Caenorhabditis elegans: one gene and its partner. The protein of the gene in region 1 purifies or fractionates together with the protein of each later gene. This does not show direct contact. Each region holds a gene or a part of one and is shown in the gene's direction. Other genes may lie near its edges.

Region 1 (7,401 bases):
ACACCGAAGGACCCAGTTGTCTTATTTTTGCTGTTTCATTGCATTCTGATGATGTTTACTAATATTTTTATAGTGTTTGGTCACTTTCCGTTTTTAGAAACTTTGATTTATTTTTGGAAGTGGCGAGAATGTTTTGAAATGTTGCATTTTTGAGTATGATCTTGTTGTGATATTTTGGAAAAGTTTGGAACATTAGGGGGCTTGATTTTGAAAATTTAAACGTTTATGGAGTTTGAACAAAATTGTTAGGTTTGTAGTTTATTACAGTGAGCTTTGATTTAAATTTTCCCCAATAATTTTTTAAAACGTGCAGAATTACAGTTTTATCAACACAAACAATTTAAACAACAGCTTTTTTATCAGTTAGTTTCTCTTCTTTTTTTTTGATTTTCCGTTTTGTTCGAACAGTTTATCGTTTATAAATTTTAAAATTTGCTTCTCAATTCATTTTAACGTAGGTAGTTTTTTTTTGTAATGTCATAACTTTGTTTTTTGTTGTAGGTTGTACTATGAAATTTGAAAAAGCAAAATTTGTAATTTCTCAGAAAATGAAGAGCAGCAGACATCGATTGAGGCCCGCGATTTGACTACATACACACGTGATGTCAGGCTGCCCCATTACGGTTTAATCTACAAAAAATGCGGAAGTTTTTTGATCAAAAAAATTTGACGTCAGCACGCTCAAAATGATTTGAGAAGTCTGCATCTTAATTCCCGCAATTTTCGGAGATCTGAGTAGATCAAACCGAAATAGGATACTTTGACACCACATGCATGCACAGTTAATTTGTAATTTGCGCATACTGTGTGCACAATGAACTTTTTGTGATTTATAACGGAACACTATGTGCAAATCGCAGAGTTTTGCGGGGCGTGATATGCGCATTGTGCTCCATGTGCAAATTCGTAAATGTACTGTAAAAAATAAAATGCGCAACCTATAACTTTAGGATTCAGTTTCATGTTTTCATCGTACTTTGCTTATTGATTATCGATAACCGATTAAATATTAAAGATCACAGATCAAACTAAATTATAAAATAAAAAAAACAAACTGTTTTCCATATACAACATTTTGTTGATTTTTGCACGTTCTTTTTTAACACAGTATCTGATTTATTTTTCCGTGTTTCTGTGTCTGCAATCAGCGCTCTATCAAAAAAGCGATTTGCAAAACCATTGAACGTTTTTTTGATTCTATCTGTTGGTTTTTCCAATCGACTGTTTTGAGTGAGAACGCAGCCGGCAACACGAGTCTCGGCATCTCGGCAGATGGGAAGAAGAGATAGGTGGTGGACCGTGTTGCAGTTTTCCTTCTCTTTTATTAACGGTTTCTTTGTGCTGCGTTTATCGATTTTTTTTACTTGAATTGGCTTTAAAAACTGCATGGTTTTTACTTGGCATCCCCTCCCCTAGTTTGAATATTACATGGATTTATTAGTGGTAATTTGAGATTTTTTCTTCTGGTTTTCTTTTTCCAATTCTTGTTTATAAACCTATATTTTTGAACTCATTAATTATTTTTAAAATTTAATCTCAACTGTTCTATGTTTTTCACTTTTTCACTTTTCCAATTTGATCCCAGAAATTCGTAACTTTCAGCTGACAAAAAACAAATGGAGAAACTAAAAGAAGGTGGCAGACAAATCACAGCTGGCGGGTCCGCAGGTAAGACCACATGCTTGTGAGGGTTCAATGGGAGAACAACAAATAGTTATTCTTGTCCTTGAATCAAAAAGCAAAGTGACCTCATGACTGGTTGCTCTTTTACTTGAAATTTTTGAAAATTAGAAATGATATGAGCTAGGGTTGTCTTAGGCCGTCCTCTGCACTTTCTGTGGGTTTTATTTGGTGTCGTTTTAACAAGAAACTTTAGCCTCAATTTTGACTCTAGATAGTATTTACCCAAATAATCAATTTTTCTTATTAAAATTAACGTATCAAGTTCGAGAACTTTGGTTTTAAAAAAATTTGGAAGGTGTTGAGGGCGTCCTACCTAACAGATCTAATATGAACAGTTTGAAATAATTTTTAAAAAAATGACCTGTCAAAGTACTTGTGTCATCAAAATTTTACATAGTTCAAGTACACCCAATAAAACCATATAAACGTTCTTTAAGCTTCCCGTAATAAAATCAAAAGTCTACTTTTCGAATAAATCACCCTACTACCATTGTAATTGTTCCAATTCTGTCACCACACCTTTAAGCAGTTTTTCATTGTAAAATCTTCTTGAAAATATCATCTGATCATTAGGTAACCACAAGCTTTTGTAATATAAAAAGTCAAAAATCAAATGATAGCGTCATCAAAAACAAATGTAACAATGAACACGATTTTTGAAAAACATGGGGGTCTTGAAAAAAGTTTGTGAAAAATCAAAAACTCAAACGTAGGAAAAAATGGACTGAGAAAAAAGTTACCTGCAAAAATTGATTTTTGCCCTTGTTTCCATCCGAACACACATCAAGCACAGCTTGTCCGCTAGACATTTATCAATCAAAATAACTAATCTTTGATTGGATACTATAATTTACTAAACCGTTTATTAAAAACAACAAACTACGCAACGAAAAAAAACAAAGTAATCTTCGTTTCAGGTCTCGTGGAAGTATGTCTTATGTACCCATTGGATGTTGTGAAGACGCGACTTCAACTTGGACAACAGGATAAGGGAATGATGGATTGTGTGGTGAAAACGTTGAAAAATGAAGGAATCGGAGGGTTTTACAAGGTTAATTTAAACTTGAAGAAACTAAGATTTCAAGAAATTTCACAGCAAATTCTAGTGTCTGTTTAAAAAAAATTAAAAAAAAAACGTTTTTAAAACCCTAGTTGAAGTGAAATCCTTTTCTGGTTAAGTGATGAAAATAAAAAAAAAACCTTCTTCAACGTTTTATACCAGGTCAGTGTGTCCCATTTGTTTTATCTACGTAGATCTACGAGAATTGCGGGAACTTAGACGCAGACTTCTCAACTGATTTCGCATGGTTAAAAACGTGCTGACGTCACTTTTTTTTCGGAAAAAAATTCCCGCATTTTTTGTAGATCAAACCGTATTGGGACAGCTTGACACCAGGTGTACCAGTAGAGCGCTTATGAGTTCAAAGTTCAAGTTAATCGAGCCGTAATTAAATTCACAAAAAACCAAGGAAGTTTTACAATGCAGTTTATTAAAACTCTATTATTTTTATACCATTCAAATCAGTTTTTTCCAGGGAATCCTGCCACCAATCCTTGCGGAAACACCAAAAAGAGCGACAAAATTCTTCACATTTGAGCAGTATAAAATTGCATTTACTCATTCGGAAATTCCTTTGCCTGTTGTAAGTTGATCTTTTAGCTTTTGAATGAAGAAACAAAGAAAGAAAGTTGTTTGTGCTTTGGTGCATGCTTCTCTCACGTTTAGTATTCGTGAGGTAAATTTTATTTTGGGAAATGTTTTTTTTGGAGTGGAGAAAGAAATAACTTTGTGAAAACTAAGGGGTGTGCATTGAAACTGCTATTTTATAATTCGATTTATGATACAAAAGATACAAAATGTTTTTAAAATGTTTTTTAAAAAATCTAAATCAAGTTTTAGAAATGTTGAAAAAGGAGGTGAAAAAACAAATAGCAAATCAAGAAAAAACTCAAGTCTCCAATAACGGTACTCCACTTTTAAATTTTTTTTTGCTATTTATCTTTAAAGGTGGAGTAGCGCCAGTGGGGATTTTGTCTAAATACACTTATAAAGATCCAAAATGACCAGATATCATAATAAAACACTGCAAAAATTTTAGATTTTTCATAATTTCCGATCAAAGGTTTGGCAAATTGCCAAATTTTTAAAAAATATGTGCTTTTGAGGAAATTCAAAGCAATGTTGCATGTTCCGACTTCTACAATGTTTTAATACGAATAATTAAAACAAAATTACAGTATAAGAAATGTAGAAAACCGATTTGTTTGGACGACTTCCAAAATTATTTTTTATTAGAATGGCAAAAACTGAGTAATTGTCACCTTTTGACAGTAAATAAAAAAAATTTCAAAAATTTTTTGAATAGTTTTATTATGATATTCGGTCATTTCGGCATCATAGGAGTGGTTTTTAACAAATTCCCCACGGGCGCTACTTTATCTTTAATAAGTTAGTGTTGATTGTTTTTTACATTCAGGTAAAAGTGATTTGAACTTTAGATGTTATAAGTTAGAACTTCAGAAAAAAAAAAATAGCTGTATTTATTAATGTTATAAAAAAAATTTTCATGGTTATTATAATATTTTATCATGAGTTCCTCTATGTGCAAAAATAGATTTCGAATTTTAATTCTGTTTACATGCGTGTTTTTATTTTTTTTTTAGGATTTGAACTTAAAGCCAAATTTGTAAACATACGTATTACATAAAAACGCGACAAACTCTATAATCATATTTATCATTTAACTACGCACGCTCTCCCTCGCAAAAATGTTTTCCTTATCAGCTTCCTTATCACTCAATGAGCGAACATTGACCGCGAATTATGACGTTATTGCGTTAAAAATGTCTAATCCTTGTTTTTAAATTCATCTTCCAGACAATGTCATTCGCCGGTCTCTTCTCGGGACTCACCGAGGCCATCGTTATCTGCCCGTTCGAGGTGGTAAAAGTGAGACTGCAAGCGGACAGAAATTCAAGCGTCAAAGAGGTAAACTTTGATTCTCGGGTCTTGTTCGTCGTCTGAGAGCGAGACACAAAACATGCAATGGAAATTATTAATCTTTGGTGTTCCAGCAAAGATCAACGGCGTCGATGGCAAGGGAGATTTATAGGAACGAAGGATTCGGAACCAGTGGACTTTACCGAGGATTGGGGGCCACACTGGGAAGACATGGTGCATGGAATATGGTCTATTTCGGGTTGTATCATAGTTGCAGAGAAGTTATTCCTGATGCCAAGGTAGGGTATGAATCACGGGTGGGCGGCAAAACGGCAATTGCCGTTCGGCAAATTGAATTTGATTTCCGGCAATTTGCCGGTTTGCCGATTTGCCGGAAATTTTTATTTTCGGCAAATTGCCAATTTGCCATTTGCCGAAAATGTTCAGAGGGATTTTTTATAAGACGGAAACTGTGCCTTTTTGAATTTTTCCGTTTTTCCTACATATTTTCATAGAGTTTACTTATTTTCAAAAATAGATGTAGAAATATTCATAAGACGCGTTTAATTTTGCCATTTGAAATTGAAATTCTGAAATTTGCAAAAAAAAATTTCGGCAAATCAGCAATTTGCGGATTTGTTGATTTGCCGGAAATTTCAATTCCGGCAATTTGCCGATTTGCCAAATTGTCGGAAAAAATCGTTTGCCGCCCACCTCTGGTATGAATCGATCAAAATTTTTATATAAATATTACGCATATTTTTTTGAAAAATTCTTTTCAACGTATTTATCAATTGAAAATTAATTTGAAGTGTTCTAAGTTGCTATGTATTAGTTTTGGTTGACATTTCACAGGTAAACGTTTTCATTCAAGCATTTTGCAAATGTAATTTGCATACGTTGGCGCTAAAAATTATTTATTTTTTGGTGGAGCTAATCCAATTATGTGTCTTCTGCAAGAGCACATAACTGTCAATTAAAATTTTTTTTAGAAAACCAAAAAAAACACAAGAAATTTCTTTCAAACTTCTGATTGCTTCCGGTTATTTTCCCCCCAAAGGTTTTTTTCTTCAGCAAAATCCAACATCAAACTTAATTGGAAGAATCGCCTTAGGATTCACCGCCGGATCGCTTGCTTCAATCTTCAACATTCCATTTGACGTAGCAAAGAGCCGGATCCAAGGCCCACAGCCGGACCCATTCACTAGGAAATACAGTGGAACAATGCAAACGATTTCTTTGGTTTACAAGGAGGAAGGGTACGTTTTGTAATGGGGACGAGCGTAGAAATTTTGAAGAAGTTGAGAAAATGTATTGAAAATTTGGAAATCGGCAAAACGGTCCAACTTCATAAAATACTCCTGCAGCTTCTTAGAGACCGTGGAACAGTTTAGCTTTTTTACAAATTCTTGTAGTTTTAAGACGATTTTTGAAATTTCTTCGCAAGAATTTAAGCTAAATTTTGCTCAAAAATGCGTTGATTTCTGCAAGTTCCTAACAGTTTTGACAAAGTTTTATAAATGTTCTTGTCAAGTTGCAGGAGTTTTTTACGAAGTTGCGACGCAAAACCATAGAACTGTTACTCCCTTTTTTGCACGTGGTGTCATAGTGTCTCATTTCGGTTTGATCTACGTAGATCTACAAAAAATTCCGCCAGAACAGACGCAGAGTTCTCAACTGAGTTTGCATGATTAAGAACATGCTGACGTCATTTTTTTGAACAAAAAATTCCAGCATTTTTTGGAGACCAACCTGACACCACGTGTTTTTGCTCACAATGCCACAAGTTTTTTGAGAACATTGTGGAATACGTAGCACTTCAGTAAACTTCTGGGGTTTTTATATAAAACTTTCATATGATAATATCAATCAGTCTTATATGAACTAGTGTTCTAAAATGCCTAAATTCCAGATTCGGTGCTCTGTACAAAGGACTTCTTCCCAAAGTGATGAGACTAGGACCTGGTGGAGCTGTTATGCTGATTGTCTACGACGAAGTTTACTCTTGGCTCCAGAAAAATACCTAAACTTTTAAATCATCTTTTCCGCAAATGTGACTGAACTTTATTCCACATATTTTTGTATCGAGTATCAAAAACTGACAAGTACAATAAAGCGAATTGAGAGGGTAACTGGCTGTTATCGGCAAATCATTGACAAGAGTAAATGGGATAAAGGAAATTGAAAACGTTTCTAATACGAACATGCTAGCAGAATGATGAATTGGATAGGAAAATAATGATAAGGTCGAGAGAATTGAATAGTTTGAATTGAACAACAAAAAATGGGTTGCAGTATCAGGAAGATATGCAAGGGGTACAATTGAAATGATACACCAGGATTATAATAAATTATGAAGAATTTTCGAAAATTTTAAAGCAGAAATACAGGTATATATGTAGATTAAGAATATTGTTTTGCAAGTGCATTGATATAAATAAGAAATTGTGTCATTGAATGAAATTGTAGTTATTATTTGATAAATATTGCTCAATTATTGAGCCAAGCGCTAGAAGGTACCGTCAAACGTTTTGGAAACCAAGTGTTGGATATTAGAGCCCAATTGCTATTTGAAAAGGTAATAAACGAGATAATGAATGCTCAAACTGATGTTAGTAATTTTATGGTGGAAAGAAAATGAATAAAGTTGGAGGGTTAGTTGGTTTTTGAAATTAATTGAATTAATGAGAAATCCTATAGTTTTTGGTACACAACTGGCATGAACAAGTTGTAAACGGAGCTGAAGTTTCTGTCCAATCTGATCGAAGAGTCTGAAT
Region 2 (5,511 bases), about 16 Mb from region 1:
TTACTTTTATATTTAAAATTTAACCAAAGCAATCGGCAGCAAAAACAATACTAACCGAAAATATGAGGAATGCTTTTTACGAAATTCAAATATGAAGAGGATAACATGATGAAATAAGTTTCATAAAATGAGCAAAAAGAGTCAATCACAATAATTTTGAAAGATCGAATGATGACATATTCATGTGACCACAAAATCTTGTGACCACACTTAAAAGCTGCACAACTCGTTCTTTTTCCGTTTGCAGACTACACATTTTTGATTCAGAAATTGGAAACATACACTTTCACGTGTGTGTGTAATTGTGCTAATCATTTATGTAAACAGAAAGGTGGCACAAATAGAAAACGCTCATTAAAAGTTGTATTGAAAAATGGGAGTTTGCTAACAATTCTGCAAACAATTTTGCAAATTTTCAAAAATTGCGTGTTCCAGATGGAATGTCAAAAGGTTGCCGGTGGTCGAAAAGTTGCCGGTTGCCGAAATTTTTAGAGTTAGGCAACTTCGGCAATTGCCGGTTGCCGAAAATCTCGGTTGCCACACATCCCTGGTATGCGCCAATCGAAAATGTTTAAACTGGGCAGTGTTCTTGAAATTAAATATTGTAAGCTTGATATAATTTTCAATTTTCGTTAGTTTTTCGTTTTTTTTTAGAAGCAATGACTCGGTAAAATTTGGCACACTGGAAAAGCGAACATTTTGCCCAAAAAATGCAGGCAATTATGTACATTTTTAAATCTATTGAAATTTTGAAATTTTTATCTTTTGTAGTTTTGAAATAGCAGTATTACTTTCAGGGTTTGAACGGTTTTTCGGGGAGTTCATCCGATGAAAACGTTTGGGTTACTGTGGAGACACTAAAACTTTACACTTAAAGATTGAGTAGCGGTAATGATGATTTTGTCTAAATACACTTATAAAGATCTAAAACGACCGAATTTTATAATAGAACACTCAAAAAAATTCCAGATTTTTATAATCTCTGGTTACAGTTTTGGCAAATTGCCAAAATTTAAAAAAATAGTTTTTGAGGAAATCCAAAGCAATAGCACATGATCCGACCCTTACAATGTTTGATGACAAACGTTAAAAACAAAATTACAGTATAAAAAAAGTAGGAAAAAAATTTTTTTGGTCGACTTCCAAAATTACGAGGGGTAAAAACTGAGTAATTGTCACATTTTGACCGTAACTAAAATATTTTCAAAACTTTTTTGAGAAGTTTAATTATGATATTTGGTCATTTTGAGATTATAGAAAGAGTTTTTTACACTTCCTCACTGGCGCTACTCCACCATTAAAATAAATTCACAGAGATTCGGAAGTTTAATTATTTTTAACTGATTAACATAATTGTTTAAGATACCTCAAAAGATTCCGAATAATTATCTCCATACGGTTCACTGTCTCAATTCCCTAAGACTGAGCAAAGAGTGTCAAAACAGCAATTTCAAGCTTCAGGAACCAGATTCAAACAAAGTGCGAGCGGGGCAAGGTGTTTGTCCAGTGGCATTCGTATAAAACCACACCGTCATCGGAGAAATCCGTTCCTAATCCCTCTGTATTATGATATTTTGCCGGTTAATCCTAGTTTTCTTATTTCAAATTTCATGTTCCAAAAAAATAAATTTCGACAAAGTGTACAAAGATGCTATGTACGGTAAGTTACAGTAACGAAAACGTTTTGCAAAGTAAATATTAGATAAGTTGAGTTTTTTACAGCAAGTTTTCTGAAATCCGAGTTCAACTATACTTCTTTTCTAAGACGAGCCGATCACTCTGCTGAACGATATGTTCCTTTTCAGGATACTAGTAATGACACTTTTTTCAAGGTTGGAATGTAAGTTCTGATAAAATATTCAACAGTTTTATTTAGAAATTTGAAGAATACTCACATTTTTTAAAAAGAAGGTCAAAATCGTGCGGTTTTGGCAAACATTGTTGAGGAGAAAATTTTTGACTGTCCTTTGCAGGTCCAAAAAAATATGTCCAAAAAATTTTTCACACTGAAACTAACAAGCCCACGCAACATTTAAGCAAAGACTTAATTACGTAAAGTTTTTGAAATCTGTGCAAACAAAGCCGTATAGTTTAACTATTTTCAGTGTAGAGTGTAAGACTAGTAATGAGATTCAACTTTCAGTCTTCATAAATCTCAACTTGAAAATTATACGAAAATACGAATGGAAGATCAGTTAGGAACATTAAAAAACAAACCCTGGATGCCTATCAATGAAATCCGTGAGGAATTTGCAAATTGTGCACTATTGAAGTTTGGCTCGTTTAGTGAACATGATTTTAAGGTATGTTTTGGAGAAGGAGTAAAATTGAAAGAAAAAGTAAATTGCAAATACTTAAAAAAAAACAACATGCAGAAAAAATTTTAAAGTGATTTTTTTCAAATGCGCAATTTAGTTAAAAATATTTGTAATACCTAGAATTAAAAAAAACAAATTATGAATTTTGAAGTCTATTAAAAATAGTTGTTCTATTGTTTTTGTTTTGTACGATAAAATTATAATAGAAAGTACTACGAAATTAGGAAAACAACTATTTTTAACAAGGAGTAAGGATATTTTTAAGCGACATGCAATAATATCACTCTATGAGCAGTGTAAAATGCCAAAACATTGAGACAAATTGCTCATGACTCAGCCCTACCGGAAAAATTACTTCCTAAACGTTCAAGTCAGAGATGGGCGGCCAACAGTTTTTCCGTCAAGTCGGCACATTGGCAATTTGCCGAATTTGCCGGAAAAACGGCAATTGCCAAAAATTGGGCAACTTCTGGTTTTGCACATTTTTTTAACGGGAAAAAAATTCAAAAAAGCAAAGCTTTACGAGTTTATGTTTTATAAAGGACATTTCCGGCAAATCTGATAGTGATAAATTGGATCACAAATTAAAGCCGTTCAAAAAAAAAAAACAGTAGGAATTTTCGACATATTTTTCGACTCTAGTATGACATCATCTCGGTCCACCTCCACAATTGTCATTGTTTCAGTACGACAAAGGAATGTATGGGTGGATGAATATCATGAAATTTTCATGTGCCCGAGTCCTGGACCAATATCTCGTCTTTGGAATGGCTTTCACTAGAACTAGATTCAGGTTGAAACAAGTGATACTAAAGCGACAAAACACGTGAGCTGAACAATGATTTTGATAGAAGGAGTATATCTTTTTTACAGACATTGGGCAACTTCCGGGCGTAGTCTGATAACAAGAGATGTACAGAAAATTACTGAGATATTTACAATTAGATTTGGGCAATTTGTAAACGAAAAACTTGAAGACGAGTTGAGAAAACATGCAATTTCAACAAAAAATATTGCTGGTGAGTTCAACATGCCAATAAAAATTTTTAGCTAAATTTTTTTGGTCGAGTTGAAGGAAAAAGGTTTTAGATTCTTTTTTAAAAAAATTTTGTTTGTATTGATGAAATTATGAATTTACATGTTCTTATTGTTAGTGAGTAAATTAAATTTGACTTTAAAACTGAAGGTAATTTGTGTTTTAATTTGTAAGCTAAACTTTATTCTACCTGATATTAATTCTGGAAACAAAATTAGACGGTAAATTCAAAAAAATTAGTTTCCAGCCGCTGCGACGTTGACAAGTTAGTTAAATTTCATATTTTAGCTAATTTTAGCTAATTTTTTGAGCCGCCATAACTTTTGTTTGAGAAGTTTTCAAGAAGTTTCATCATGAAGTTCAGTGTTTTCAGACAATTTCGAGTCTAATGAAGCAATATAAAAAAATTCCACTACGACGCCTTTAAAACATTTAAGTTACATCGTCAAAGCAAATTTGACTTTCAGTTAAAAGAAAACAATTGTTTGAAAATGCTGCAATTCTCAACAGCTATAAAGTTGCAGGTAACCCACTGAATCTAAAAAATGACACGTTTGAAGAACTTGCTGTAGCATATGGACGGCTCAGAAAACACATCAAGCTTTCAGACAGCCGTGGACACACCTTCAGTACATTGGCATTTGGGGTAGAATAATTTCACAAGTTTTAAATTGCTATTTACTGCAACTCCACTCAACTTTCAGATAAAGTCACGAATTTTGGTGACATCACCCAGTCATGCTCCACAAGCGGTTGAAGCAATATCCGATGAGCTCAGTGATGCTCCGCTGAAGGTATTGGACACGTGTCATAAAGATATTTGCACATATGATTACATGGTGAGAGCTGTTCGAACAATCGAAGAAAAAGTATAGTTTTCAGAAAAATGCAACATTTAATCCAAAAACTGAAACATACAGTTACGTGAAGGAGAATGCATTAATCAACACAGTTCATCCCAGATACTCACTCATTGCTTTTCAAAAATCCAAGCCTTACTTTACATTTGAAAAAATGAAACGTAAAACTGCAACCAAAATTATGTAAGCTCGTCAAAGATTTAAAGGTTTTGAAATTTTATTGATATCATAACCAGGAGTGGACGGCAAATTTTTTTGTCGACGAATTTGGCAAATCAGCAACATGCTGGTTTGCCGATTTGCCGATTTGCCAAAACTTTTCAATTCCGGCAAATTTCCGAATAAATTTAAAAATTACAAATTTTTTCGTAGATTTGCAAAACGCATCCGCTCATTCCTTTAATTAATATTCTAAATTATTTTCAGCGATGTCAAGCAAAACCTGGACACTAAAGCAAAAAATCTCTGGTCATCATTGTTGGATCAACAATTTACATTAGCCATTCATGTGCACAATCAGGAACTTTTCCCATTTGATCAATTTTTCATGACATTGAAGCCACCAATTGACTGATTAACAAGAATTGAAAAAAAATATTTATTTTGATGTAATTTATTTTTTTGAACATTTGATTCAAAATACAGATTGGAGATAAATTTTTATATAGTACTATATTGCTGATTTGTGCTCATTTATTTTGTGAGTGGGGGAATGATTTCCGATTGGAAAAGTTTGGTGGACCAAATTGAGGTATAAAATGAGGAATAGGGTGGAAAGGGAAACGCTGAAAAAGCATTAATTGTCAAATAAATTCATAAGGGTCGATTGAGATTCATAATACAAAAAGAAGTATCGGGATAATGTTTCTTACAACTGAAGGAACTGCATGACAAATTGGAATACTTTAGGAATAATCTCTAAATGAGTGGGTGGGTATTTAAGAGATGCATACATTGGTCCAAGTTGAAAATTGTTTACAAAAAGCGGCTGGGAATCAGTTGACATGGTTTTAGTGTGAAATAAAAGATGATTACTGTTTTGAATTCGTTTTTATCAGTATACTGTATTCCCAACAGCATTTCTGAAGTTGAATTTGTGCCTAGGCATGACTCTCTCCCGTAGTGGAGTCTGCGGCATGTCCGGCAATCTCCGACTCGCCGATGTGTATCGGGTGTGCTCCTGAAATTTCTCCCAGAGCTTGAGCTTCGGATGACTGAATTGAGGAATGCTCGGCAGCTGGCTCTGGCATCGCGGCTTCTGGATGCTTGGCGACTGGAGCTGATGTTGCTGCAAATG

What was found.
Region 2: the proteins of slc-25A21 (region 1) and F13C5.3 fractionate together in Caenorhabditis elegans (co-fractionation; one large-scale study listed by BioGRID). This does not show direct contact.

Annotation. Positions count from the first base shown.
Region 1 is NC_003284.9:16,188,254-16,195,654, forward strand, and holds slc-25A21 (Mitochondrial 2-oxodicarboxylate carrier), read left to right. Parts: upstream 1-1,602; 5' UTR 1,603-1,616; coding exon 1,617-1,668; intron 1,669-2,600; coding exon 2,601-2,734; intron 2,735-3,218; coding exon 3,219-3,326; intron 3,327-4,561; coding exon 4,562-4,672; intron 4,673-4,758; coding exon 4,759-4,923; intron 4,924-5,698; coding exon 5,699-5,883; intron 5,884-6,536; coding exon 6,537-6,651; 3' UTR 6,652-6,754; downstream 6,755-7,401.
Region 2 is NC_003284.9:595,591-601,101, reverse strand, and holds F13C5.3 (Peptidase_M13 domain-containing protein), read left to right. Parts: upstream 1-1,525; 5' UTR 1,526-1,566; coding exon 1,567-1,660; intron 1,661-1,722; coding exon 1,723-1,840; coding exon of another isoform or gene 1,841-1,844; intron 1,845-2,143; coding exon 2,144-2,303; intron 2,304-2,693; exon of another isoform or gene 2,694-2,806; intron 2,807-3,004; coding exon 3,005-3,144; intron 3,145-3,191; coding exon 3,192-3,337; intron 3,338-3,878; coding exon 3,879-4,000; intron 4,001-4,058; coding exon 4,059-4,193; intron 4,194-4,236; coding exon 4,237-4,397; intron 4,398-4,640; coding exon 4,641-4,788; 3' UTR 4,789-4,874; downstream 4,875-5,511. Other genes in the region: F13C5.2 (Bromo domain-containing protein), read right to left, coding at 5,315-5,502.